Anolis sagrei: one gene and its partners. Each later gene encodes a partner of the first gene's protein in a complex. Links are inferred from orthologs where the notes say so. Each region holds a gene or a part of one and is shown on either strand. Other genes may lie near its edges. The genes, in order: CNOT9, CNOT8, CNOT2 and CNOT10.

Region 1 (7,994 bases):
AGGGACCTCTCTTTCATAATAGTCCAGATATCTACCTCAACTTTGATAAGTTTTACTATAGGCCACAGCAACGTGTGGCAGGGCACAGCTAGTAAATGGATAAAAATGAGGCAGTTGCAGGGTAGGAAAACAATTTCAAGCCCTTATCCATGAGAAACAAATGCCTTATGGCAGGTGGGGGGACTACATGGAATACTGTTACACTTGTTGTTTTTCCACCTGCTAGCAAGTAGTTACAGACATTAAGTGGCATTGCTGTGTGTTTATGCATATACAAACACAAGTAAAATGAGAGGATAGAAATAATTATTGTTCAGTGGAAAAGGTTGCAATTCTACACACAATCACCTCGGAGTAAGTCTCATTTAATTTAATGAGATTTACTTCTATGCAGACGTGCACAGGATTACACTGTACAATATGAATACATACCAGAAGTATACTAAAAACTATTTTTAGTATGCTAGTTGTACACAACCTGAATGGGAAAGCTTGCCTTCCAGACAATGTTGAATTCCAAGTCTGATCCCTTATCAGTAGCTATATTGAAATGGAATCCTTGTTCCCCACTATGTTCAGTAGTTAGATGCATGCTAGTTACTCTTATTTTGGGATTTTTAACTCTACAGGTGTGCAGCATTCTGACGAAAATGACTGTTATAATTCTACTGCAATTAAGCGCATGTTGCCACCATACTTAAAAATATTCAGCAAAGTAGGAGGTCAGGGTCTCCATATTCCAGTAGGAAAAAGTATTGTAGGAATAAGTGTTTCACACACTGTACCATTACAGTCCATTTTTAGCACGAGACGAGAGTAAAGTGGTTCTGCAAATGCCGCTGGGCTATAACTCCCAGCAACCCTAGTCAGAATAGCAAACGATGAGAAATGCTGGGCCTTGCAATCTAACAATATCTGGAACACTTCACAATTCCCACCCATTAAAGCAAATATAACCAGCTTCATTGGTTATACAACCTATACCGAAATAATTTAGGAGAAACAGTATGCCAGTAAGAACTATATTTGGGACTTTAGATAGGTAACATGTATTACTTTTGCAAAGACATGACTTCAAGGTCACAGAGGGGATCTAAGAATGAAGGCCATGAGGAAGTCCATCCCTATATTTTCTCCCCCAGCTCTGTTGCCATTTCAGTGAATGTCAAATGGTCAAATCAGGAAAGTGACCCACAATTCACATTGACACTGTATAATCCACTGCTGTGCCAAGACATAAAAAGCAGGGATTCTGCGCAAAAGCTTCTCACAAGCAAGCCAAAAACAGTGAGCATAACTTCCACAACATTTAACAGGATTACTTTCTACTAAGTACTCAAAGTATGGAGAGAGGTGTGGATGCCCTTGCATGGAAAGATATAAGAACCGGAAACAACATGAGAGAACAATTATCCCTTTTTAATAAACTAAAAGTGAAAAGTAACACATTTTATGTGAATATTATTGGAGAAGATGATCTAACTGTTACACCAACTGTATTTTTTAACTGAATGGGGATTTGGGAGGGATGTTTATAAAGTTCTCAACACCAGTTATTCTTTTGTTCTTTGGCGGTCATAAGAATATTCCAAAAGAAAGCAGAATCAGCATTTGAGAGTTGCTATATTCAACATGGGAGTACATTTTGCTATTTGTATCACCAACCTCAGTATATTTACTCCTCCACTAAGTACTCTCACTTTGGTATAACATAAGATTCATGCTACCAGTGGGTTTGTTTTGTGTGTGTGTCAGGAGCAGCTTGAGAAACACTTCTGGTTTCTCAAGCTGCCCAGAGGACACCCAGATGTTTTGATGACAGAGGGAGCTCTTCCGTGCTCCCCCCGGATTCGAACCTGCGACCTGTCAGTCTTCAGTCCTGCTGGCACAAGGGTTTAACCCATTGCGCCACCAGGGACTCCTACCAGTAATTATAAATGTTACCAGTATTTATAAATTGAGTGGAATTATTCACATCCAATTAAACTGCTGCCTACAATACAACAAGCAATGGGTGTGTGGCATAGAAAACCCTTATACTAAATCAGGGGTCCTCAAACTTTTCAAACAGGTCATAGTCCCTCAAACTGTTGGAGGGCCGGATTATAATTTGGAAAAAAAGAATTAATTCCTATGCACACTGCACATACCTTATTTGTGGTGCAAAAACACTTAAAAACAATACAATAATTAAAATGAAGAACAATTTTAACAAATATAATCTTATTAGTATTTCAATAGGAAGTGTGGGCCTGCTTTTGGCTGATGAGATAGGATTGTTGTTGTTGTTGTTGTTGTTGTTGTGTGCTTTCAAGTCATTTCAGACTTAAGTTGACCCTGAGCGAGGGCCGGGTAAAAGACCTTGGAGGGCCGCATCCGGCCCCCAGGCCTTAGTTTGAGGACCCCTGTACTAAATAATGCAATGCCTATTTAAGACTATGGTGCACCAATTTTTTGTGCTACTCTGGCCACGCTATAACTAAAAAGTCATACAATTTGTAAAGAACACTCAATACTATTTACAGCAAATTCCTACAAGATATGAAGAAACTTGAAAGCAATTTAGAAAACTAGTAAGTTGTTAACGTGTTCTCATCTACCTTGGAGCCAATGAAACATAAATTGAACAGATGGAGCCTCCACAGGTTAACCCACAAAGAAGTTTCACTTGCCTCATTTCTACATTTCAGTTTTCTGGATAGGAAACACTCACTTTTACAGAAACATGGCTGTGAGTGGATCTAGGAGTCAAAGCAAGGGAGAAGCTCACCCCACTCATCTCGGCAAAGCTTTACATGCCTGGCTAGGACTAAAGGGATGAAAGAAAGGCCAACAAGTGGGTGACTCCTAGACACTCTCTTGTCTCTCTGGTGGATCAGAGACAAAAACAAACAATGGGAGATAAGCAGGAAGGAAAGGAAGCGGAAATCAAGGGGTGCATCTACACTGTAGAATTCATACAGTTTGACACCACTTTAATTGCCATGGATCGATGCTATATTATCATGGAATTTGCTGAGGCACCAGCACTCTTGGCAGAGAAGGCTAAAGACCTTGTAAAAGGTAGGTAAAATGGTCTCAAACAACATTGATTCGGCAGTGTGGATGTAACCAAGGTCTGGACCAACAGCCCTGGAAACCTGAGCAGTGAGAAAGAGCATGGCTCAGGCTGAGGGCATGGGATGAAGAATGCCACAAACCAGGCCGAAGTTACCATGGAATAGAGGAGCAAAGGAAAGAAAGAAGAGGTGCACCTATACCAGGTATGGGCAAACTTGGGCCCTCTGGGTGTTTTGGACTTCAACTCCCATAATTCCTGGGAGTTGAAGTCCAAAACAGCCTGAGGGGCCAAATTTGCCCAAAGCTGACTTATACTGTAGAACAAATGCACTTTTGCACCACTTTAACCACCTTGGCTCAGGGCTATAATATTGAGGGGATATGATTTTTGGAAAGTCTTTAGACTTCTCTGCCAAAGAGGCTGCATGCCTCAGCAAACTAGAACTCCAAAATCCCACAGCATTGAGCCACTACTTATTTATTTATCATATTTGTATACCGCCCTTCTCAGTCCGAAGGCGACTCAGGGCGGTTCGTAGTTGGCAACATTTGATGCCTCAACAAATAAACAATCATAAAATACTGTTAAAAACATTCATATAAAATATAAAGTATAAAAACCATAGAAAGCCATAAAAACATTATCATGAGCATCTCCTTGTTAAAATTGTTATTTAGTTACTTCGTCAGGTCATTCCATGATTTTATATAATTACGCTGGATTAGCAAAAGCCTCCTCAAAAAGCCAGGTTTTAACCTTTCTTCGGAAAGTCAGGAGGGAGGGGGCCACTCTTATATCCCTGGGAAGGGTGTTCTGCAGTCGAGGGGCCACCACTGAGAAGGCCATGTCTCTTGTCCCTGCCAAATGCATCTGTGAGGGAGGCGGGGCCGAGAGCAGGGCCTCCCCAGATGATCTTAGTGACCTAGAAGGGTCATAAGGAGTTAGGTAAGCTGGTCCGGAACTGTTTAGGGCTTTATGGGCTAAATCCAGCATTTAAAGTGGTATCAAACTGCAGTAATTCAACAATATAGATCAGGCATGGGCAAAAGTCGTCCCTCCAGGTGTTTTGGACTTGGAACTCCCACAATTCCTAACAGCAGGTCAAAGTTTGCCCATGTATGGTATAGAAGATGGGCCCCAAGCGTGGAGCAATCACACTGGAAGGCAAGGCATGTCTGGGGCCGAAGGGAGGAAAGGAACCAGGCTCAGGCTGTTATGGGAGGCGTGAGCGAGGGAAGGAGGGAAGGATGAAGGGAACTTCTTTCCACCGCTTTAAACGCCCTGGCTCAATGCTATGGGATCCTGGGAGTTGTAGTTTGGTGAGGAAGGGGTAAGGAGGGAAGGGAGAGAGGGCGGGAGGAGAGGGCCCGGTGCCACCGAGCAGGCCTGCCCCTTCGCCCTCCCCGGCACTGAGGAGGCAAGAGTTCCCTCAGAGGGTGCGCCACGCTCCAGACAAGCCCACCACCACAGAGGATGATGGCGGCGGCGGCTTTCCTTCACCTTCTCCGCGAACCCGTCCGGGCTTGGCTCCGTCTCCAGGCCGCCTCTTCCTCCTCCTCCTCCCTGCCTCCGTTCGCGGACACCAGGCCCGCCTCGATCCCAGCCGGCCTGGCTTGCCTTCACGAAAAGGGCAGATGGCGGGAACCAGATCGGCCGCGCCACCGTCCTCCTGACGCCAGCACGCAACGTAAACACGCACGAGAGGGGGGCGGGACCGCGGACAGGACTGGATAGGGAGGCCCCTACGTCATCACGCCGACGGCCTGGAAATCGACTCCTGCCATTCCTGCGCATGCGCACTGTTTCCCTCTGTGGTTTCGAGTTCTGGCGACGCATGCGCCTTCTCGCTCTCCTCGGGCCCAACGCTTATGCCCGCCGAGAGGTCAGAGGTCGCGGCAGTGGCGACGGCGGCAGATCCATCATGGCGGCGCCTGAGGTAGAAGCGGCTTCCTGAGCTCCCGCGAAGGACTCCCGACCATGCACAGCTTGGCCACGACCGCGGTAAGGCCGGGCCGGGTTCGCGGGGCATGGTTTTCCTCGGCAGGGCGGTCAGGAAGCCCGCTGAGGGGCTGAGAAAGGTCTGGTTTCATTGGCCGGCGGAATGAGGGGAGGGGGCGGCAGAGGCTTGTTTTCCCGCCAAATTGCTCTCCTTCAGAAACGACGGGTCCTCCTTAGTTACTCGTGCAGCTCCCTTCCGCTTCCCTGAGAGAGGACCTTCGGCCCAAAGCGGCAGCAGCAGCAGCATGGCGGCAAAGAAGGCGCCTGCAAGGAGGCGGGGCCGGGAGCCTGTTTCCCCCCCCCCCCCCCCCCCCAATGCGCGGATTCATCGTTTATGGTGGCTGATGCGTAAAAAATGGCCCCGGAGTTGAACATAGAAGCATGAAAGTGGTAGTTTTACGAGGTCTCCAGCCTTCTCTGCCAAAGAGTGCTGCTGCCTCACCAAACTACAGCTCCCAGGATTCCTTAGTATGGAGGCAAGACAGTTCCAGGGGCATTCATTCTACAGTGTGGATTCGATTTATTTATTTACTATCATTATATTTCTACTCTGCTCTATCATACCCCGAAGTGGACTCGGCATACAGTTTTGGCAATTTCATTGCCACATTGCACAGATATATATATATATATATATATATATACACATATAACATCACATTAAGCATAAGATCATACATACACACACACAATTAAATGTATTCTCGAAGGCATTCATGACCAGTTAAAGCATGCGATGCAGTGTATTCTAGCATTCCAGAATAATATTTTCCCTAGCATGTGGCATTGGAATCCTGTTCCTAAGTGAGAGCAAATGCTGCAGAATGGAAGGAGGCTTATTTGAGCTTGTAAAGACCTTAAATCAGCAGCGCTCTAGCCAGAGGGGAGGGTTAGGGGTTAACACCCCCTCCCAAAATTTCAGGTTAAAAAAAGATGAATTTTAACTGGTTAACCAAATTCCCATGCTAAGTCTATGAGAAGCAAAAACTAAATGAGTGCCTCCAGAATTTCAAGCACTACTTCAAGCAAATTTTGACAATTTGTTTACACTCATAACTTGCAGCAGTAGCCACGATGGCTCACCCATAACTGGCAGGCAAAGCCTAATGTATTGAGTGCGGGTTGGATTTGAAGGCCCTCATGAAGGAGACCATACTTGGTGGGGACGGTTGACAGGGGCGGAGCTGCAGGCTATTGCTGTGTTCTTTGCTTCGGCATGAGGTAGGAGGCAGGTTCCTAATGGGGAATTAGGCCTTTCACTCGTTGCTTCCACCCTCCCCTTTTCCAGTTAGTAGGTTCCCATTGCTGCGCCTATATAGAGCTCGTTTTCAACTCTTAAACGTTTGAAAACATACATAAGAAAAACAGTGAGGCAAGAAAGACTGACTGGACTTGTACTCTTGAGTGTCCACTAAAGTTTATCAATGGAGCCTGCTTTCTATCAAAGTATATTGACATAGCTTTCAAGTGTTTCCAACAGACGCTATGATATTCTTTTGTAGCTATAAATTACCAATTAATAGTCATTTTCAGTTATTTTAAGACTTGAAACTCTGTAACTAAAATAGAAAACTGATTTAATTAAGTTTATATAAAATATAGAATGAACCATACTATTTAAATTATTTTGTGTTATGGAACTACTCTTCATGATTCGCTTAAAAAGGTTTCAACACCCACCCACCACCCACCCCCAATTTTCTGGCTATGGCCCTGTATATCATTCATGGGCAAACTCAAGCCCTCCGGACATTTTGGTTTCAACTCGCACAATTCCTAACAGCCTGTGGGAGTTGAAGTCCAAAACACCTGGAACGCTGAAGTCTGCTCATGCCCGAAAGAGTTAATTTAGTTTGACACCACTTTAACTGCTATATTTCAATCCTATGGAACTCTGGGAGTTATAGCTTTACAAGGTCTTTTATCCTCCTCTGTCAAAGAGTACTGGTGCCGCCCCAGTATAATTCTACAGTATAAATGTGCCCTAAAGCAAATTCTAAAGCATCAGTAGCATCACTCATAAGTTTTAAATTCTTTAGAAATAACCAGAGATGGAAATGATGCTTTAAAAAATATGGTAGTAGTGGTAAGAAAAGACAGCCAGAGATGCAGGAACCTTGTTCTCAAAGGTTACAGTTGGAAGTTCCCTCTCCAAAAACCAGAATTAAGGAGTCCACCTTAAGTCAGCTTTCCTTTACTATTTTGTATTTACTTCACTTTATTGCCATATTATACTCTCCCCCCCATCCTGTTGGATACTTCACATTGCATTTGTTTCTCCTTGTTGATTTGTGTTAGGTTCTAACAGGTTTTCTATCCTTACTTTTAGAAATTACCGTGTTTCAAATTTAGTGATTTTTAATATCTGTTGTTCAAGACATCATAAGACTTAAGAAATAAAACCAGAGAGATTCCTTTGCAGTTCAACTGTATTTGTAAGAAAGAAAAAGAAATAAATTCAGTTTGATTTATTTTCTGAATCAGCTCAATATCTGTATAGGTTGACTGGAGATATGAACTTAGAAAAACTTGTAAAAATGTGGGGGGACAATTTTTCAGGGAGCAGAATGAAACAAATATAAAACATTTTCGTATAGATCTATAAATATTCAAGACAACATGTTCATATATCTAATTTCTAAAAAATGTACATCCAGTAGACTTAGTTAAGAATATTTACAATAGTGCACTTTAGAGTGCAGTTCTAGAGACAGGTGTTAGTACACTAGCCATTGGCTATAAACCTGCAGTTAATTTCCAGGAAAGAAATACTTATAACTAATGGGCATAAATAGCATGCTGGTTGTTAGCCATTAGAAATAGAAACCTGGCTCTGCCACATTACATTAGCCTGAGAAGTATTGAAGTATAGTATCAAAAGATACTACTGTAAAAGTAGTGGTACGACACCATCTGTAAAAAGCCTTCCCAGGAC
Region 2 (7,173 bases), on another chromosome or scaffold:
AAATGGAAGCTCTTCAGAATACACGAGTTTTAAATTGCATTTAAAAAAATAACAACAATTGAGACTAAAAAAGAAAACATTTCTTGAGAAATTGCAAATACTTTCATCTGGTACATTGCAGCCCTAGTTCAGGCAAAGGTCAGTTTACCTTCTATTAGATCTCACGTTTCATTTTATTTAACTACTGGAGAATTTTGAAAGATTTGCCGGAGTTTTCCTCAAAATACGTTTTGAACAGCTATCAAACTGCAGTTTGGAGTTCAAGATATAAAAGGTTGCTTCAACTGTATCCTACTCTGCTTGACAATTGTTCTATCTTGAATTCTAAAGTATTGCGAGTATGGTTTTTCACCATGGTACACAACTGGACAGACGGGCCTTAATAACAAATTTCTCAAAATGGCAGAGACTATAATTTGACTATCAAGGGGCTTACCTGGCTAAGCTTATACTTCCAAAGTTAGGCAAATGCTTACAGCCCTTCGCTTTCAAGCCATGCCTACTGCTATGATTGATGGCAGATATCCTTGTATTCTTCTGATCCTCTATTTGTGGAGCCCTAGAAATTGATGATTTGTCCTGTTATTTCCTCTTCTGTTCATCATATTCTTAACCAATAAGCAAATTTTTTGGATCTTTTCTAGCTTATTTATTTTCTAATAATATTTCAGAATTTTTTTTAATCTCTTGTCTGATATTAATTCCATGGTAACTTGAAAGGTTTCTTTTTTTGCCCTGGCTGAGATGAAAAATTAGGCAAGATTTATCACTGATATTCCAACCAATTCCTCTGGGGATGCTTTTACAGTATTGTTTATATTTAATGTATGCATTGAATTGAATATTTTGCATATATTTTATGTAGTACTTTTATACTGCTACATTAAATATTGTATGGGAGTGACTTATGGTATAATATTAATAAACTACTTATGATCATAAGTGAAGACATCTGCCCTTGCACTTTGCTACTCTGCTGCTGAGTATGCATGCCCAGTGTGGAACACATCTCACCACACTAAAACAGTGGATGTGGCTCTTAATGAGACATGCTGCATTATTACGGGGTGTCTGCGCCCTACACCACTGGAGAAATTACACTGTTTAGCCGGTATTGCACCACCTGACATCTGCCGGGAATAGTGAAAACCAATAGTGAAAGGACCAAGGCAGTGAAATTTCCAGCTCATCCCGTTTGGGTATCAGCCAGCACGTCAACGACTTAAATCAAGAAATAGTTTTCTAAGATCTACAGAGACACTTGCTGGAAACCTCAGCAAGCGAGAGTCCAAGAGTGGTAGGTTCAAACCCAGAACCTCAATCAATGGCTGACACCAAATGAGAGACTCCCCCCTGGGCACACAGAAAAATTGGCAACTTGGAAGGCGCTGAACAGACTGCGCTCTGGTACCACGAGATGCAGAGCCAACCTCAAGAAATGGGGCTACAAAGTAGAATCCACAACATGCGAGTGTGGAGAAGAGCAAACTACAGACCATCTGCTGCAATGCACTCTGAGCCCTGCTACATACACAATGGAGGACCTTCTTATAGTAACACCAGAGGCGCTCCAAGTGGCCAGCTACTGGTCAAAGGGCATTTAATCAACTACCAAGCTTACAAACTTTGTGATTTGTTTGTTTGCTTTTTTAAAAAATTCAATACAACTGTTTGCTTTGCTACTGACATGATAAATAAAGATCACAATTAAAGAAATCTCTCACCACTCCATGTTTTGAATTGCTACTACACTTCACATTCCTTCACCCTTGCCTTGGAATATATCTCTGTCCACAGAGATTTCACTCCATGCACTGCAGTTTACAGAAGCTTATGCCAGAAAATTCTTATCTAAGTTTCAAAGGTGTTTCTGGATTCCTTTGTATATTTTTCTAATAAATATGTTTAAGCAGGGATAAAGTGAAGATTGAAACTCTGGTGTTTAAGGAGTAGGTCAAGAAAAATAATTGAGCTGAAGTTCCTTGGGGAAACAAAAGGGCTTAAGCCTTACCGAAGGAGGTAAGATGAAGGCCAAATCAAAGCACCACAGAAGAAAGGCTGAGACAAAGGTCTTCAGATGACTGAATATCCCAGTAGTGCTCATGTTAGTAAAGCAGCAAATCCATTATGGCCTTTTATTTCAAATTTTATTATTTATTTATTTATTTCACAGTTTTCTATACCGAGCTTCTCAACCTCACTGAGGGACTCAGCCCGGTTTTAGAGAAACTATCAAAGGTCCCTTACACACAACTGAATAAAATCCCACATTATCTGCTTTGAACTGGAATATATGGCAGTGTGGACTCAGATAATCCCGTTTCAAAGCAGATATTGTGGGATTTAAATTTTGGAATAAACCCCAGTTGGATTAACTATTCTACAGACATTGGGTCCACCATATTCTACTGTATGGCCCTAAGAAGTGCATGAAAAAGTCAGTCCAAAAGAGAAATTCGGGAGAAGGAGGAGATTCTCAGCATTAATGTTAACATCATGAAGAATGTTATCAAGAGAGGACAATGGTGAGCCAAGCAGCAGGATCTGCAGAAGAAGAAAGTGTGTGTATGAATTACTGTGTTGCAAATTGATGCATGTCTAAAAAGTGTGTCATCAACATAAAATGTTCGGAAAGCTCTGCCTTAAACAATTTATCCCCCCAAATCACAGATTGGTTTTATAAATCCTTTAAACCTAGAAACAAATTCTTTTATTTTAAAAAGGATAAGCCTTTTAGCAAAGAGTGCAACAACCCTTTGGAAGTAACTGAGAATGAATCTCAACTGAGCATTTCCAAAGGCTAGGAATGATAGTTGCCCACCAATTTCTGATGGTCCTTGTGAAGTCTTGGCTCTGCCTTCTCCTCTCCTCTGTGTTAGTTCTCCCTGTATACAGGCCTTCCCAATAGTGTAGAGACTTTTCTTTGTATTCGTTTTTGCGTGAATCTTAAAATCCCCCCACAGGCCAGTCTTAGCTGGTCTATTTCATTTCCCTGTATAGTGCTCTCTTGATGGACTCCTCCCTTTTCTACAGGCTTGTGGCGTTGTCTGGTAATCCTAGGCCAAGGAATCCAAAAACAGGCATTCTTAGCACCTGGTGCATTTAGCAGTATTTTTATATACTACAGTCCAAAGGACAACAGAAGCTTTTGGTCAGCCTAAGCTTCACAAGGAAGAAGATTGTGACAGTTCACTACTTTACATCAGAGGCAGAAGATGCCAGAAATATGACTGCAACCAGTAAGTTCTCCTTTTGTAATGTATTGTTTTAAGTTACCTAATGATAGTCCCGAGTGGAGTTAACTCTTTTATTCCTCTTGTTTGTAGTAAACTCATTTTGGTTATCTTTTCACTTTGCCTAAAGAGCTTCTGTCTGCTAAGGGACTTAATCTTAACAGAAGGTATCCGATAGCCCCTGAGTAAAGACAGACAATAGTCTTCCCAAAAGCTCAAGTATGCCATCACAGTCCCATTCATGTTCCCCGCCCGGCACAGAAAACGAAATTATGAAAAGGAAGAAAGAAGAGGGAGAAAAAAGAAATGTGAGAGCTCCTTTTTATTTTCACAAGCGTTTCTGTGGGATATAAACCCACACCTTTGGATGCAATAAAGGTAATTAATTATCTGGCTTATTCTCACTCTGCCCTGCATCTAAATAAGTGGTCTTATATATATATGTGTGTATGTATTTGCCCCCTCCAAATTACTTAAATATGTTGCCATCTTTCTTGCTTCTCTCCCCCTTGTTATGCTGCAAGAGACTAACAGGGCCACTTCCTTATAAATCAGGCAGTCCTCTCCCACATAGCACACTCTCAACATTAAGGGTTTATGCCCACATTAATAAGAGTACCCAGGAAAGAAGTTTTAAATGCTACAAAACACTTTGTCAGCAGAGATAACCGGCTCCTTCTCCGTCGCCACTCCCACAGAGCCGCCTCTCAGCCTGGCTTCCCCACGAACCGCAGGCTGCTCCAGTTTCAGTCAGACCAGAAGAGCATGCGCAGTAGCGAGAAGAGCGTCCTTTGAGGCGGCTCCACACGCATGCGCAGTAGGAAGAAGAGCGTCCTTTGAGGCGGCCCCACACGCATGCGCAGTAGGAAGGAAAGCATCGCTTGAGGCGGCTCCACGCACATGAGTAGTAAGAAAAAGCGCGTCCTGTGAGGAGATTCCACACGCATGCGCATTAGGAAAAACATCGTCCCTTGGGGTGGCTCCACACGCGTGCGCAAACAGGCGCGCGCTTCCCTTGCGTTTCCGGTGCCCAACCTTGGGAGGGTCGTTGCTGCTCTCCAGGGCGCATGCGTGCGGAGAAGAGGCAGCGGAGGAAGCAAAACAAAGGCGACAACAAAACATCCACATCGCATCACCGAGTGATGGGACGGAGGTAGCCTAGAACGGCCTCCTCCTCGGTTCCCCCCTCCCTCAGCCCCAAACACAGGCGACGCGAGAGCGAGGACGGGCCGGCGCGCGCCGTTTTCTTCCGGTAAGGCGGCGGAAGCGGCGGCGGCCGCGGGGTTTCCTGAGGCGGGGAGGGAGCGAAAGAGCGGGACGGACCGGATTTCCTGCTCGCGGTCTTCCTTTTCTCCCCGAAGCCTCCTCGGCTGGCTGCCCTTTTGCCTCATAACGTGGCCCAGAGGAAGGGAGAAAGAGAGCGTGCTCGTTCCTTGGCGGGATTGTGCTTTTCCCTTCTGCCAAAATCCCCCTTCAGAAGTGAGAGCAGGCACCTGGCTCAGCCCCTCATGAATCAATTGGAAGGGAAACGGCGTGTGTGTGTGTGGTAGTGGGGGGTGGGGGGGGGTCGAGTTTGCAGAGGAGACAGTCCTGCGAATCCTTCAGTGGAAGGAGGAGGAAGGCCTCCATGTTGCAAGGGGCAAGGGACCTAAGCAGGGCCGGCCTAGTTCACACTTGGGTGGGAGGCCGCCAGGGAGGCGTCTTAGGCTATAATTCAGGGGAAGGAACTGGGGAAAACACCTCATTCCTTGCCTAGGAAAACCTTAGGGAATTCATTGAGCTGATGAGCACCTTGAAAGTACATTTAATCACATGGTATAGTCCCCTAAAAGGATGCAACCGTAACAGATTATTCTACTGTATGTGTATAAATAGGACAATTATCTATACTTGGATGGGAAACTAATAAGGAATAGCGGGTGCTGTAGGCTATATTTCAGAGGAGGGAAATGGCAGAAAACATCTCTGAATATTCCTTCCTGAAGAAAACCCTCTGAAATTCAAAGAATCAGCGGGCAACTTGATGTGTATGTATATGCACATATATATGTGTATGAGTTTCCTTTTTATACACATAAGATATCCCTCAAGAAGTATATAGCCTAACAAGTTATTGTACCATATCTGTATAAATAGGTCAGATATCTCTTTGTTTGGGTGGGAAATCACTAAGGAATAGCAGGCACTATAGGCCATGTTTCAAAGGAAGGAAATGGCAAAAGACATCTTCAAATATTCCTTGCCTAAGAAAGACCTATGAAATTCATTCCATAAGTCAACAGGAGAGTTGAAGGCACATACATGTAAGGGATTTGAGCCAAAGAGGGATGCCTTTCCATTCCTGGTTTTTGAGGAGCTTTACTGGGCCTAGCATTGTGTGCTTGTGTGAATATTGCTTATGGCCTAGCCTCTCCTATTGTTTCCCTTTCTTTGCTTCTGAGCAGCACATTTAGGTATAGTGCAATCATGAAGGAAGAAGCAGACACAATTAGAAAGGTGGTTCAGGTGGAGTATCCCTGATCTGAAATGCTTTAGACCAGAAGGATTTTGTTTCTGATTTTAGAATACCTTTGTTTACATCTACGTATATAATGAGATACCTTGAAGATGACCCCCAAGTGCTAAATTCGTTTATATTTTACAGACATCTTCCACACATAGTCTGAAGATAATTTTATATACATTTTAATAATTTTGAGCATGAGCTTTGTACATTGAACCACCAGAAAGGTTTTGCTATCTCAGCTACTCATATGGACAATTTTGGAGCATTTCATTTGGCTGCATAGGGGATATGCAGTGTGTATTTACAGAGTTCTCTCTTGCTAGGTTTTCGTGTGAAGAGGGAATATGAAAGTACATTCTTATCATAATTTAAAGTAAAGCACCTTGAATGAACATGTTGGGAAGTAGTCCGCTCTTTTGTTCAGTGCAAATAACATTTCTTTTTTGTCATTTAAGTAATCGATACAAAAAAGCTTCTTGTATACAGGGCATAAACTGTGTAATTGTGCATACAAATAATTGTTTATAAACTAGTGCAGTATTTGTTCAAAAAAACAATTCCAAGTGATAGCGCATAGAGAAGTACAATTTCTCCAGGTTCTCCAGTGCATCAGCTTCCAAGATAAGTTGATCATAGTCATGTTGAAAGAACTACGAATTTTTAGCAATATATTTTCTCATGTAAAAAAAATAGAATTTTCTTTATTTGTGGGTTTTCACTTTCACAAGGGTTTTATACCCATTACCCTAGCAAGTGTGGAGGATGATTGTTCTCTTTTAACAATTTCATAGATATTGTTGATGATTTAAAAAAAATAAAATTTACATATATTTTGAGGGCAGTCCTGTACATGTTTACCTGCTCAGACATGGGAATCCACTGGTGACCTTGAACAAGTCACACACTCAGCCTCATAGGAAGGCAAGAGCAAACCCTCTCTGAACAAGAAAATTCTATACTAGGTTTGTTTTAGTGTTCTCATGATATAGAAATCATTTGAAGGCACTCCAAAACAACATATCTCAATTACATCGGAGATTGCAAAGCAGGAAGCAAATATCAGTTCACAAGAATATAAGATTCACTGAGATCCTTTAGTAAAGATAGTACAATCCCAGAAATGCAGAAATGTCAGGAATTTAAAAATGTCTATGTCTTCAATAGACAGACATATACAGACATTACTTTAAAATATTCTGTTTTCACATTTCGAATGACTAAAACAATTGTCAGATTCTTGTTAGGAAGCTATAGATTCATGGGCACCATATTTATAGTGTTACACAGTGAATCCCATTCACCCCAATTCCTACTGGCTGGGTAGAAGGCCCGGCACTTGATGGAGGTCTGTGATCCAACTGATTGGAAGCAGTGACTGATGTTCTCATTCCTTCTGTAAGCCATCTTCATTGAGACAAGCAGAAGCAGGATCTC
Region 3 (7,168 bases), on another chromosome or scaffold:
TACTCCCACCTTTAAAACTCCCTTCCTGTTGTCCTTTTGTCGGCAGGCATTTTTATTTAACCAAAAATGTTGTACATACAGTGGGGTGGCTTTTTATGGGGTATGCTTTACTAATCAAACTAAATGTATATTTTAATTGATTTTAAAATGTTATTATAATAGAATTTTAATTATATTTTTAATTAAATAGCAAATGCTTTTAATTTATTCTATTTTGAAAGCAAAACAGTATATTAAAAAATCCTGGGGAAACACACATAAATATAACTATATATAAATCACTTAAAAAGACACATTTGACAAGGGCAAGAAAACTCCTCTGGGGAAGGGGATATTACTCCCATGTTGGAATTTCATCATGTCTGAAAAAGCCTGTTTTGTGAAAGACAAACCTTTACTACATGATGCAAGGGTGGCCTTGCTGCGGCAAGGTATGTGTTTGTGCTTGCAAAATATACCTACCAAGCTAATGTTATATAATGTGGGGTGGCTTTTTGTGGAACATGTTTCACTAATGTTATTAAACCGTTTTAAGTTGGTTTTAAAATGTATTATGACACAATTTTAATTGTTACTAAAATTTTAACATGTTTGAAAACAGACTGTTTTGGGGAAATAAGGAGAGAAGAGATGGCTTCTTAGCCAGGGCAGCTATGGCTCCCTGTGTTGGTAATGGTTAAAAGGTCCCTTCCAAGCTTTTTAGGCTATAAGGGGGTTTTTGGTCGGGCATGTTTTACCCATCTTATCCAATTACTGAATATTTTAAATTGATTCTAAAATGTATCATAATAGGATTTTAATTGTAGTCTCGCTCTGAAGGGAGGCATATACATTAACAAACATGGAAAGCATAGAGAAAAATAACCACATAGAAATCACCTTAAAAGACAGCAAACTCTTGTGGTGAAGAGGGTATTACTGGAATTTCAACCTGTCTGTTTTGTGAGGGGCAAAGAGAGAAGAGGTACCTCCCCGCCTTTACCACAGTGTTGGTTTGTGCTTGTTAAAGGTCCCTCCCAAGCTTTTAGTAAAGAGGTGGGGTGGGTTTATTGGGGGTGTTTTACTACTCTTTTACTAAACTTTTGATTATTGGATTTAAAATGTATTTTAAAATGTACTCTGGTAGGATTTTATTTCTTTTTTAAAGTTGTAGGCAAATGGTTATAATATACCGTTTTTCCAAATAGCAGCATGTACAAGTAAATTAAAGAAAAACAGGAAAGCCTCTCATATATATAGTGCCATACAAGTGGTCTGAAAAGCTACTACAGGTAAGAAAGCACACATAAACTCCTGTGGTGAAGGGATTCTTATTACTTGAATTTCACCTCCTCTGAAAACAGGCTGTTTTGGTGTGTGTGTTTAACATGTAGGGTAAAAAAAAATAATTTGCAGGCAGTCTCCAAATTATGAAAAGGATAGGTCCTGTAGGTTTGTTCTCAAGTTTATTTTGTTGGAACATGTACTTTTTAAAAGTATAACTCCAGCCAAATACACACACACATACACATATATAAGCTTTGGATAGCATAGGGGTCAACACCTCTGTGGGGTCTGTTTTGCTGTCTGTGCCGCTGTTGAGAAGATTCCACTTCCCTTTCTGGATTTTGGAAAATGTGGCTTGTTGTGGAGACAAGGATGGGTGATAAAGCTCCACTAGAGATACCTTTTTCCCCTGATCACTCTTCCAGGAGTGAATTTCCCTTCCCTTCTCCTTCCTAAGGATAGACTGCCCTTCCTGTTGTCTCACCCGTTCTTAATTATGAGTAGTTTGTAAGTCAGGTGTTTGTCACTCGAGGACTGCCTGTATCATTTTTAGAAGCCTCCTAGGGTCCCACTGAAAAGTGGCATATAAATTAAACAAGCATGCCTATATAAATGGCCTGAAAAGACACCATGTAGAAGAAAGGGCAAAGAAGTTCTTATTGGAATTCCATCAGGTTTGAAAATGCTTGTTTTGTGGGGCAAAGACGAGAAGGGAAATCTTCTCAGGATACTTCCACAAAGCTGTATAAAATCTACATAGAAGTTCTGGCAGTATGGACTTATGTAACCCAGTTCAAAGCAGATATTGTGAATGATCTGCCTTGATGATCAGCGGCTTAAAGAGCTGGGCATGTTTACCCTGCAGAAGAGAAGGCTGAGAGGAGACATGATGATTATGTACAAATATGTGAGGGGAAGTAATAGGGAGGAGGGAGCAAGCATGTTTTCTGCTGCCCTGGAGACTAGGACGTGGAACAATGGCTACAACTTGCACTATCCTATTCCCTTGTTCCTGTATACAGTTGGCGATGTTTTACAACAGTTCTCACCATAGGTTATTGAGTTGAAATTGTTTTATATGCTATTGGTTTTATCTTTTATTGCATTGTTTATTTTATGCATTGTTTTAGGCACATTGTGCTGTATGCAAGCTGCCTCAAGTTCCTTCGGGGACATGGAGGCTGGGTACAAAAGTAAAGTTATAGTAATAATAATAATATCACTCAAACTACAGGAAAGGAGATTCCACCTGAACATGAGGAAGAACTTCCTAAATGTGAGAACTGTTCAATAGTGCAACTCTGTGCTCCAGAGTGTGGGGGAGGCTCCTTCTTTGGAAGGCTGGATGGCCATCTGTTGGGGATGTTTTGAATGCAATTTTCCTGCTTCTTGGCAGGGGGTTGGACTGGATGGCCCATGAGATCTCTTCCAGCTCAATGATTCTATTATATTCTGGGGGCCCTGAATAAAATCTCACATTATCTGCTTTGAACTGGATCATCTGGCAGTGTGGACTCAGATAATCCAGTTCAAAGCAGATATTGTGAATGACCTGCCTTGACATCATGGGTGATATGGCCGTTTGGAAGGGAATTTAAGGCCCTTCCACACAGTCCTCTATCTCAGGACATCAATGAAGAAAATCTCACAATATCTGCTTTGAACTGGGTTATTTGAGTTCACACTCTGATAATGTGGGATTTTCTGCCTTGATATTTTGGGATGTGGGGCTGTGTGGAAGGGCCCTCAGAATAGATAGTGCTGAGAGCCTCCGAGTCAGGGGGCTCTTCCATAGAGCCCTGTATTCCAGAGTACCAAGGCTAAAAATCCCACATTATCTGAGTGTGGACTCAGGGCCCTTCCACACAGCCCTATATCCCAGAATATCAAGGCAGAGAATCCCACAATATCTGTTTTGAGCTGGGTTATCTGAGTCCACATTGCCATATATTCCAATTCAAAGCGGAAAATGTAGGATTTTTTTTCAGCTCTGTGGAAGGGGCCTCAGTGCTATGAAATTCGGGGATTTGTAGTTTGGTGAGATGCTAGTATTCTTTGGCCGAGAAGGCTGTAGACCTTCCCCACAGCCCTATATCCCAGAATATCAAGGCAGAGAATCCCACGATGTCTGCTTTGAACTGGGTGATCTGAGTCCACACGGTGGGATTTTCTGCCATGCTATTTTGGGCTGTGGGGAAGGGCCCCCAATCCTTCCCAAGGGGTGCCAGGGCAAGTCTTCCTTTCTTCTGCAACCGAGGTGTGTGTTTATGTTTGAAAAGGGCCCCTCCCTCCCTCTTTCCTTCCTTCCTTCCGTCCCTCCTTCTCAGTGGAAGAGAGGCCCCTTCCCTCCCTCCCTCCCGCTTTCCCCGGATGTCTGAGGCTCTCTTCTCGACTCCCACGAGGCCGCTCTGAGGCCTTGTCCTGGGGCCCTTCTTCCCTTTCTTCCTCTCCTTCCTTGCGAGGCCGTAAGCGAGGGCCCTTCTCCCTCGGCGAGGCCGGCGACGGAGGAGAGGCGCCGTCTCCCGTGGCCGCCGGACGGCGACGTCGAGGTCACGCCGGCAGCGTCGGGGTCAGAGGGCAAAGGTCGCTCCCCCAGCATCCTCCGTGCGGGGTGCTCAGCCATCTTGGATCCTCGGGACAAGAAAATTCATGCGGTGAGTGCGGCCCTGTTATTCTTTCCCCCGCTTCGGCGCCGCGGCTCGGCTCGAAGCCTCCTCAGGGAAGCGGCGGGCAGCCAAGGGGGGCTTCTGGCAGGCGCCTGCCCGGGTGGAGGCGCTCAAGGCCGGCCTGGTCCCGCCGGGCCGCTTCCGTTTGCTTTTGTCTCTCTGAGGGAAGGAAGAGAAAGAGAGGAAGGGGAGGAGGAGGAGGAGGGATGCCTGAGGGGAAGGGGGAAGCGGGCAAGGCCGCTCGGAGGCGCAGCGCTTGAGGACGAGGAGGAGGAGGAAGGAGCCCCGAGGCCGGCCTGCCTTCCCTGGCTTCCGAAGGGGAAGGAGGCCTCGCTCCCGTCTTTCTCGACTCCAGTGGTGGCGGCGGCGGTCCTTTATGCCCGCATCCGAGCTCCCCGCCTCCTTAGGCCTCAGGGTAAGGCACCCAGGGACCAGGCTTGCCCTTTGTACATGCGCAGAGGCTCCCAGCGGTGGCGGGCTTTGCGGCCTAGGGATCTGGAGGCTCCCGCCACCAAGCAGGCCTGCTCGCCTGCCTCCTCTTTGGCGAGTTTTTGGTGGGAAGGAAACTTGGGAGAAACCGGCGGCGTGGAAGGGTTTTGTTGTGGTTGTTTTGTAAACACGGGCCCACCTCGAGGGCTCCGCAGAAGGAAGGCCGGAGCCCTGGCCTGGGTCGCTGGCGGGACGCGAGGGGTCCTTTGTTTGCGTTGGAGTTGCGTCTCCTCTCGCCACAGAGCCGGGCCTTTTGGGGGACGGGACTCGGGTCTCCCCCCAATCCATACTGGGCAAGGAACGCGGTTGGGAGCCAGTTTCCAAACTGCCGCGGCCAGGCCACAAACTCCGGCAAAAGTGCGCCAAAGCAAGCCCTGAATGTGCCCCCGTGCTCCCCCAGTTCGTGCAATCACCGCCTGGGCCTCAGGCTGGTTCTGTATTTTTCTCCATGTAATCATCTGCACAGCGAAACCACTTTCTTCAGTTCCGGTTTGAAACTGCATTCAGTGGTCAGTGGGGATGTAGCCTTGTTCCACCCAGGGAGCAAACTTTTGCAAGCGTTTTCCCAAGTTTGCAGATGTAGACACACAACAACAACAATGCATTGTAACTATAAATTGTAGTTCATCACTCTCTGCTTTGAGTAGAATACATATTCCGTTGTAGAATTAATGCAGTTTGACACCAGTTTAACAGCCTTAGCTCAATGCTGTGGAGACCTAGGAGTTGTACTTTTACAAAGGGCCCTACCACACAGCCCTATTTCTCAGAATACCAAGACAGAAAATCCCACATTATCTGAGTGGACTCAGATCACCCAGTTCAAAGCAGATTTTCTGCCTTGATACTCTGGGATATAGGGCTGTGTAGAAGGGCCCCAAGTCTTTAGCTTTCTCAACCAAAGAATACGAGTATCTCACCAAACTACAAATCCCAGAATTTCATAGCACTGAGGCCCCTTCCACACAGCTGAAAAAAATCCCACATTTTCTGCTTTGAACTGGAATATATGGCAGTGTGGACTCACATAACCCAGTTCAAAGCAGATATTGTGGGATTTTCCAATTTGATATTCTGGGTTATATGGCTGTGTGGAAGGACCCTCAGCCATAGCAGTCAGTGTAAAATTACATTAATTCTACAGATGCTCCCCATAGGGAAGATTTCTTTACTCACTGTCTTTTAAAATAATACTATGATAAATAATTGTAGTTACCCTGTGATTCCATAATCTGTCATTCTTAAATTGCTTGAGCCCTTCCACACAGCCATATAACCCAGAATATCAAGTTGGAAAATCCCACAGTATCTGCTTGGAACTGGATTATCTGAGGGCCCTTCCACACAGCCCTATATCCCAGAATATCAAGGCAGAAAATCCCACATTATATGAGTATTTACTAAGATAACCCAGTTCAAAGCTGATACTATAGGATTTTCTGCCTTGATATTCTGGGATGTAGGGCCGTGTGGAAAGGCCCTGAATCTACACTGCCATATAATCCACTTCAAAGCAGAAAATGTGGTATTTTATTCAGCTGTGTGGAAGGGTCCTTTATTTATAGTTTACACTGGACTACTAAACATCCCAGGTAGTTGATGTCATGCAATGCTGCCTGTGTTTCTACCAACTGAAATACTAATAATTTACAAAAGAGGCATGTAAGCTTCTGACACAAGGCTGTAGGTCATTTTTGCTAGGGATTGGGGACATTTCAGTTTTGCAGTGTAATTAACATTGGTGTGAAAGGCTTTGAACTTTTGAAATCTTCAGCAAAATACTTGAGGAAAAGAGCTAGTCAGTCATCACATTTCACTTCTAACCAACTTGTCTGCCCTCCCCCCCCCTCAGTCTTAATTAATTAATTAACTAAGTATATTTCTATCCCACTCTATCTCACCCTGAGGAGGACTCAGAGCAGTTTACAATTTGGCAAAATTAAATATCACATTATACATAAGAAAAAAGCAATACATGACATAGTTAACTAAAAATCAATAAACATATAAATACAAATAAAAACAATTAAAACATATTAAGCATATTAAAACATCATAAAATGTATTGAACATTGCACCAATTCTGTAGTCATCATACAGTTTAAGTCTGTTTTAAAATTCTTTCCAAAACATGGAGGAGAAAGTGATCTGAACCTAACTTGCACAGTTATAAAAACTATACAGGCATTTATTATTTGGAAAAAAGAATCCAGCAGGTATTCATACTCCTAGCAGAGGAATCTGATATTACTCTTTGGACATGGTTTTTTTAAATGTATGCAGGGATTTCTTTCCCCTTCATACACTTTTTGGAAAAAGTTTTTAGAAGAAGTTACAGGTACTTACTGTGTTTTCTACCCACAGCACAGGTTGGATAAATGTTTAATAAAGATGGTTACTGCTTTTCTTAAACTTCTCATGTGAAGTAAAAGTTGGAATGCTTTGTATCACCAAGGGTCATTTCTGTCAGAAATTTCATTTTAGGATTGCATGATTCTTTCAGTCATTGATGCTGTCTTAAGTCCTTGATGTTGAGTCCTAAATGTTCATCAGACAACTGTAAAAAACATTGTCCTATAAAGGAAACACTTAGTGCTTATCAGGATACTTAATAAACCATACTTATTCAGCTATACTTTTACTGAAATACTATTTAGTATTTATGTAACTGAAGCAGATTTTTGTGATGTCTCTGAATAATTTTGTACCCTACACCTTGATTTTCACAAAGGAGTTTTGTGAATTAA
Region 4 (6,943 bases), on another chromosome or scaffold:
AGAAGTGAAAAGACAGTAACTGCCAAGAAGCAAGAACTAATAGTTGAGAGACATTGAAAAACCCATTTTTTTCTTGGATTAATACGCAACTCAGCATGTGACTATGATAAAACCTTCCATTAATTTTCATAAAACCGTATTGTGTTAGCATATTTATAAGATTTCTTTGTACTGTACTTTTGTTATTTAGTGTAGAGGAAGAAAGATGCAGATTGATTTTGAAATAAAATATTCTAATTTAATCTAAAAAATTTCCAGAAGAACAATTAAAAATCTGTAACACACACATATAAAGAAATTAATAATAAAAGTCCAATCACTTAGGCCCCATTTACACTGCAATATAAAATCTAGATTATCTGCTTTGAACTGAATTATATGGCATGTAGACTAATGTAATCTCATTCAAAGAAGATAATCTGGATTTTATATGGCTGTGTAGATGGGATCCTAGTGAAACATATTTTTGTCATGTCAAATAAAGTATTTCCTGAAAGCAGAAAAGAAGATTTGTAACCAGATGTACCTTCTGTTTAACATAACAAAATTGAAGAATCGTATCTTACCGTAAATGCTTGCAGTGCACTGTTTGATAGTTCCTTCTCTTGATCAGTAATCCCAGAAGAGATACCCGTTCCTTCATGTTTTTCTGTTCCTTGATCTAAGTAAGAAATAATTGAGAAGAGAAGAAGGGAAATATAAGAAGATGAAAGAAATCAACGCAGATCTTCAAGGACAATCTTTTACTCTTGTTAGAGAGAAGATATCAGTTGGAACTCTCCCCCCCCCCCCCTTTTACTTCACTTTCTGTTCCAGTGATAATAGGATTTTGAAAAAATCTGGCTTGTTGTGGAAACAAGGGGCCCTTCCAGACAGATCCTACATTCCCAGGATCTGACCCCAGGTTTTCTGCTTTAAATTGGATTATATGAGTCCCCATTGCCAGATAATCTGGGATAAACAGAAAACCTGGGATCAGATCCTGGGATATATGATCTGTCTGAAGGGCCCAAGGATTGGTGATAGAGCTTCAGTGGAGACACCTTTCCCCCATGATATCTCTTTCAGGAGTGGATTTCCCTTCTGCAGTGCAGATTTTTTTTACTTCCTGCTGTCTCACCCTCGTTCTTAACTATGAGTCATTTTTAAGTTGGATGTTTGTAACTCTGAGACTGCCTGTAATGCAGTTGAACTGCATTATAGGCATTATTTAGGTGTGTAGATCCATCCCCACTGCAACTTTAGCTCCTTCTTCCCCTGCCTTCTTTCTCTCAGGCTCTGAAAGGAGAAATCTCCAAGCTGTGTCCAACCAACCTAGAAACAGAATATTATTAAAGAACACAGAAATGCTGGACCACTATAACAACTACCATGTCAGACTACACTGAGAAGCCACTGAAATCCACAAGCATGTGGACTATTTCAAGAGAAAGGAGCAAACAATGAAAATGAACAAAATCTGTCTACCAGTTTGGAAAAAAATTCTAAAATCAGGACTATAAATAAAGAACAGCACTCACAAACAGGGGAATTCCAGACAAGAAACAATCAGGACAGCTTTTTCCCCCCCTCATTTCAGGAGTGACTTGAGAAACTGCAAGTCGCTTCTGGTGTAAGAGAATGGGCTGTCTGCAAGGACGTTGCCCAGGGGACGCCCGGATGTTTTGATGTTTTACCATCCTTGTGGGAGGCTTCTCTCATGTCCCCACATAGGGAGCTGGGGCTGACAGAGGGAGCTCATCTGCACTCTCCCTGGATTCGGAACTGCTGACTTATTGGTCAGCAGTCCTGCCGGCACAAGGGTTTAATCCAGGGGTCTTCAAACTAAGGCCCGGAGGCTGGATACGGCCCTCGAAGGTCATTTACCTGGCCCTAGCTCAGAGTCAACATAAGTCTGAAATGACTTGAAAGCACACAACAACAACAACAACAACAACAACAACAATCCTGTCTCATCAGCCAAAAGCAGGCCCACACTTCCCATTGAAATACTAATAAGTTCATATTTGTTAAATTTGTTTTTCATTTTAATTATTGTATTGTTTTAATGTGTTTTTTTTGCACTATAAATAATATGTTCAGTGTGCATAGGAATTCATTAATGTTTTTTTTTTTCAAATTATAATCTGGCCCTCCAACAGTCTGAGCGACTGTGACCTGGCCCTCTGTTTAAAAAGTTTGAGGACCCCTGGTTTAATCCATTGTGCCACCGAGGGACTCCTAATCACTTCCCAACAAAGGATTCCCTCAGGCAGGAAGCAGCCAAGCTTTGAAGCTGCGAGGCTATTCAACACTAATCAAGGTGATCAATTGCAACATTCACACTTGCCTCAAGCAGGCATGAGTTTTCTCCCACCCTGGACATTCCACATTTATATAAACCCCTAGTTTCCAACAGACCTCTCAATCTCTGAGGATGCCTGCCATGGATGTGGGTGAAACGTCAGAAGAGAATGCTTCTGGAACATGGCCATAATGCTTAGAAAACTCAGAGCAACCCAATCCCCAAACTGTTTTAGACTCCCAACTCCCAGCTGCTTGGGCCAATAATCAGGGATTCTGGGAACTGGAGTCTAACATAACTGAGCGACCAGGGCTTTAAAGAGACTTGAGATTCCCTTGACTTGAGATTTCCAGAGAGAAAGCCAGGAGAGAGATACCGAAGGAAACCCTGTCATAGGTACCCTTCCTCCCGCCAAGGGGCCTGGGCTGGCCTCCTTCCCTCCCTCGCCGGCCTCGCCTCTTTGTCCTCACCTCCGCCTCTGTCTGCCGCCATGGGGTGGCTCTACTGAAGGCTCCCGAGGTAGCTGCGGCCTGGGCGGACTCCACGACAAGGCCTTCCGCGCCTCACAAGCCTCCGCCTGAGGGAAAAGTGAGGAGTCGCGAATCAAACAAACCAATTTCTCCCCCTCAGCGCCTGACCCGGAGCTTCTTCTTCTTCTCCTTCCGGTTCGGGGAATGGGAGCTTCTCTAGCCCCGAACGTCTCCTCGCTGTTCTCAGCGCAGGGAGCGTCACGTGCGTAAAACCTGCAGTGGGCGGAGCTAGAAGCTTTCAAAGTTTTAGTGGGCGCGGCCGACAGGAAAAGAGAAGAGGGACCCGGATGTCAGCCTACTTGGGAATAGCAAGTAGCAGCAAACTTGGGCCCTCCCGGTCTTTTGGACTCCAGCTCCCACAATTCCTAACAGCCGGTAGGCTGTTAGGAATTGTGGGAGTTGGAGTCCAAAAGACCTGGAGGGCCCAAGTTTGCCCATGCCTGATCTACGCTGTAAGATAAATGTAGTGTGAGCCCATGGCACTTACAGTGGTCTCAAACTGAATTAATTCTGCAGTGTAGATGGATCCTCCACCTAAATCAAACCTTAAGCCTCCTATTGAGGGAGGGGTGATTATATTATATTATATTAATAATGTTGTAATATTATATACTAGCCGTCCCCTGCCAGGCGTTGCTGTGGCCCTCAGAAAACAGGAATTCCAGGCATGGAACAATAGAGACATATGGAAGGGACATTGAGAAATGGAACAGAAGGTAGATGGATAGAACATAGGTAGGTAGATGGATGGATGATCAGACAGACACACATGTTAAAGGGGCCAAAGGGGGTTGGACTAGATGGCCTTTGGGGCGCCCTTCCAACTGGTTGGCCATCTGTCGAGTAGGGTTTGATGGTGTCTTCCTTTACCGCCCAATGAGGTTGGACTGGATGGCGTTTGGGGTTCCAACTGGATGGCCATCTGTCAGAAGGGCTTTGATGGTGTCTTCCTTTACTGAAAAAGTGGTGGGGCTGGATGGCCTATGGGGCCCCTTTAACTACCATGGCTTAATGCTGTGGAATAATTCCATGGTGTAGACCAAGTAGGGGCAGACTTGGGCCCTCCAGGGGTTTTGGACTCCAACTCCCACAATTCCTAACAGCCTTCCTAGCAGCCTTTTGGGGTTGGAGTTGTTTTTGTCGCTGTGTTTTTCAGTGTTTTTATGAGTGATGGTCACTTGTTGGCCTGATAAGTGTATTGTCTCCAAATTTGGGTTAAAGCGCTGAGCTGCTGAGCTTGCTAACCAAAAGGTCGCAGGTTCGAATTTGGGGAGCGGTGTGAGCTTCCCTTGTCAGCCCCAGCTTCTGCCAACCTAGCAGTTCGAAAACATGCAAATGTGAGTAGATCAATAGGTAACAGTCCGGTGGAAAGGTAACAGCGCTTCATGCAGTCATGACGGCCACATGACCTTGGAGGTGTCTACAGACAATGCCAACTCTTCAGCTTAGAAATGGAGATGAGCACCACACCCCAGAGTTGGACATGACTGGACTTCATGTCAGGGGAAAACCTTCACCTTAACTTATACACCTTATGATACAGTACAATATATTATATAGTACTAATGGTATAAAATACTCGTAGTGTATTATATGTATTGTTGTATAATAATATAGTATAATATACTGCAGTATTCATGTTGGTTTGTTTGCGGAGATGTGGTTAGTTAAATAGCCTGGACCTGAACCATTTAGAGCTTTATCCATCTGAGTCTATCTATCTGAAATGTGGTCTTCCTCTTATCTTTCCTACTATCTTGTACCATGTTGTTGTTGGCCCTTCCACACAGCCCTATATCCCAGAATATCATGAGAGAAAATACCACAATATCTGCTTTGAACTGGAATATATGGCAGTTTGGACTCAGATAACCCAGTTCAAAGAAGATATTGTGGGAGTTTCTGCCTTGATATTCTGGGATATAGGGCTGTGTGGAAGGGCCCTAAGGTTCTGAAAAAGCACAGAGAAAGAGCTGATTCATGAAACAGTTGCTGGACCGTTTTTAGCTGTGTTTCTGTTGTGTTAAAAGTGTTTTTCCACTAGGTGGCATTATACAGCAGGTTAGTATGCATTTTAAATTTTAAAAGTCCTCTGAATAGCACATTTATTCTGGATAGAATGTTATTTTCATGCAACAAAATGTATCCCTTCACCTACATCAGTGATCGGGGAACTTTGGCTTTGCAGATGTGGAGCTGCAGCTCCTTATCACTAACTATCCTGACGAAGGGTGATGACAGTGGCACTTGGGACAATGCTTCTATAGGGTGTCTGATGCAAGCCTTTTAAAGCTGCTCTTAAAGCGTTAAAATGTTATAACCTTGGAATTAACTATCATTTTCCAGTCACAAACTAAGACAAGTGTTATGGATTTAATTACATAAAAGTGATAGCTTCCCAACCCTGGGGAACTAGAATACAGCAAAAATCTTTGAGAATTAGGTTTTGAATAAAGAACCATCTGGGAAAGATAAAATGTGTCAGCTTCTTACCATTGCCTCTCATTTTATTAATTAATAACCTAACTCAAGAATTACATTAATGCTGACATTCCAGCACAAATGGATAATTTTCATTTTAAAAAAAGTACCCTTTTATCATTACAAAAATTTCAACTTAATTTATTTTAGTTTCTATCCCTGTTCTTATCTAACACAAACAGTATATGCACAATATATTTAAAAGTAATATAGGAAATGGGATTTCTGCAGATATCATACAAGCTTCAAAAATTATCTCTCTCACATAACTAATAAAAAATATAGGAGTCCTTTCCTCTTTTTCACATGATCTTTGGTTTGCCTTTCATCTTTCAAATATGGCCATTCCAGTCAGGCTTGATCAGGAAAAGTAATTTCAGAGAAGAAAGTGGGCCTGTCACCAGACACCAGTATGATCCAACTAACCTCAGCTTTATAATTGTTCAGTTGTCCCTCCACATTTGTGGATTTAACTTTTATGGAGTTGATTATTCATGGATTTGATTAATATGATCTTTAGATCCTGGCAGAAGCTGACCATAGAGTTGCATTGGAGAACTTCGAGATTCTGAGCAAGTTGTTCTCTTGGGTAGCAAAAATAACTATTTAAAAATTCACATTTTCCCATTTTCATAAGGGTCCTGCACCCTCAACCATAGCAAATGTAGGAGAACTGATAGTACTTCTTAGTTATTATTTAAATCATTTCCCATATTTTCACCTCCCCCTCCCAGTTAGTTATAAATAGAATATAAAATATAATAAAATATGCATTCGAAATAAATAACAGAAATAAAAATACAACAATAATAGACACCCAACTAGGTAGACACCCCCCCCCCTTCCAGCAGCAGCCTTGAGTTCCTATATTGACAAAAAGGAAGGAAAAAATAAGTACATATAGAGATTATAAAGTGATTAAAAGTTTTGCTTCTGAATAAAGAACGGAAACAGAACAAATCCTTGCCTAGGGAGTTCCACTAGAAGTCGCTATAAAGCTCTTCTCTTGTATCCTTGCCAGCTAGAGATGTGTATGTTTTGAACTACTAAACAATTACCATGCAATTTAAATGAGAAATTACTTTGTATGTTAATCCCTTCTGCTTTCTATTTCAACAAATATAGGCAGCTAATTGTACTTCTGCACCCCCGGCTAGAATAAGCACATTTGTTTAGGTGTAAATACAGAATGTCTAAGAAACTTCATATTGTAACTCTGCTTTGCATTAGCTCCTGCATTTATGTGTCACGTGGGAGAAAAGGGCGGGGAAAGGGAGTCAAGAAATAAACATCTCACCATGTTACAAATCCAATTATCAGTGACAGGGCTAGTAAAGTCAAGTGAGTAATGCTGGCTAAAAGCAGCTTTGTGTTTGGCATCTCACTAGAGATTGCTAGAGACCAGCTGTACAAAGCGGGGTGGAACACCAGGTTTTGGATATACCATACCATGTCACCGTACTTTTTCTAGCATACACCTGTGTTGGAGAGAAGGAAGAAATCCAGCCCCACAGAAACAAAATATCTATTCCTGCTGCATTTGAGCTAGAAAGCAGAATTAATGCCTGGGTGTAGTCAGTCATAACCACAAGACAGCTCAGATTTAAAGGGAGCTTTAGGCAAAGCTCGGCTAATAGCCCTGGAAGAG

Evidence for each region.
Region 2: CNOT9 (region 1) and CNOT8 share a complex: the UniProt entries of both Homo sapiens proteins name them as parts of the CCR4-NOT complex. The link is inferred for Anolis sagrei from reciprocal best matches to the Homo sapiens genes CNOT9 and CNOT8.
Region 3: CNOT9 (region 1) and CNOT2 share a complex: the UniProt entries of both Homo sapiens proteins name them as parts of the CCR4-NOT complex. The link is inferred for Anolis sagrei from reciprocal best matches to the Homo sapiens genes CNOT9 and CNOT2.
Region 4: CNOT9 (region 1) and CNOT10 share a complex: the UniProt entries of both Homo sapiens proteins name them as parts of the CCR4-NOT complex. The link is inferred for Anolis sagrei from reciprocal best matches to the Homo sapiens genes CNOT9 and CNOT10.

What each region holds. Positions count from the first base shown.
Region 1 is NC_090021.1:229,041,407-229,049,400, forward strand, and holds the start of CNOT9 (CCR4-NOT transcription complex subunit 9), read left to right. Parts: upstream 1-4,972; 5' UTR 4,973-5,038; coding exon 5,039-5,062; intron 5,063-7,994. Other genes in the region: USP37 (ubiquitin carboxyl-terminal hydrolase 37), read right to left, coding at 4,562-4,897. UniProt on the Homo sapiens protein: Component of the CCR4-NOT complex which is one of the major cellular mRNA deadenylases and is linked to various cellular processes including bulk mRNA degradation, miRNA-mediated repression, translational repression during translational initiation and general transcription regulation.
Region 2 is NC_090022.1:81,795,524-81,802,696, reverse strand, and holds the start of CNOT8 (CCR4-NOT transcription complex subunit 8), read left to right. Parts: upstream 1-4,170; 5' UTR 4,171-4,485; intron 4,486-4,549; exon of another isoform or gene 4,550-4,712; intron 4,713-7,173. UniProt on the Homo sapiens protein: Has 3'-5' poly(A) exoribonuclease activity for synthetic poly(A) RNA substrate. Its function seems to be partially redundant with that of CNOT7.
Region 3 is NC_090025.1:143,579,737-143,586,904, forward strand, and holds the start of CNOT2 (CCR4-NOT transcription complex subunit 2), read left to right. Parts: upstream 1-4,166; 5' UTR 4,167-4,308; coding exon 4,309-4,347; intron 4,348-7,168. UniProt on the Homo sapiens protein: Component of the CCR4-NOT complex which is one of the major cellular mRNA deadenylases and is linked to various cellular processes including bulk mRNA degradation, miRNA-mediated repression, translational repression during translational initiation and general transcription regulation.
Region 4 is NC_090026.1:81,514,048-81,520,990, forward strand, and holds the start of CNOT10 (CCR4-NOT transcription complex subunit 10), read right to left. Parts: upstream 3,004-6,943; 5' UTR 2,777-3,003; coding exon 2,755-2,776; intron 662-2,754; coding exon 567-661; intron 1-566. UniProt on the Homo sapiens protein: Component of the CCR4-NOT complex which is one of the major cellular mRNA deadenylases and is linked to various cellular processes including bulk mRNA degradation, miRNA-mediated repression, translational repression during translational initiation and general transcription regulation.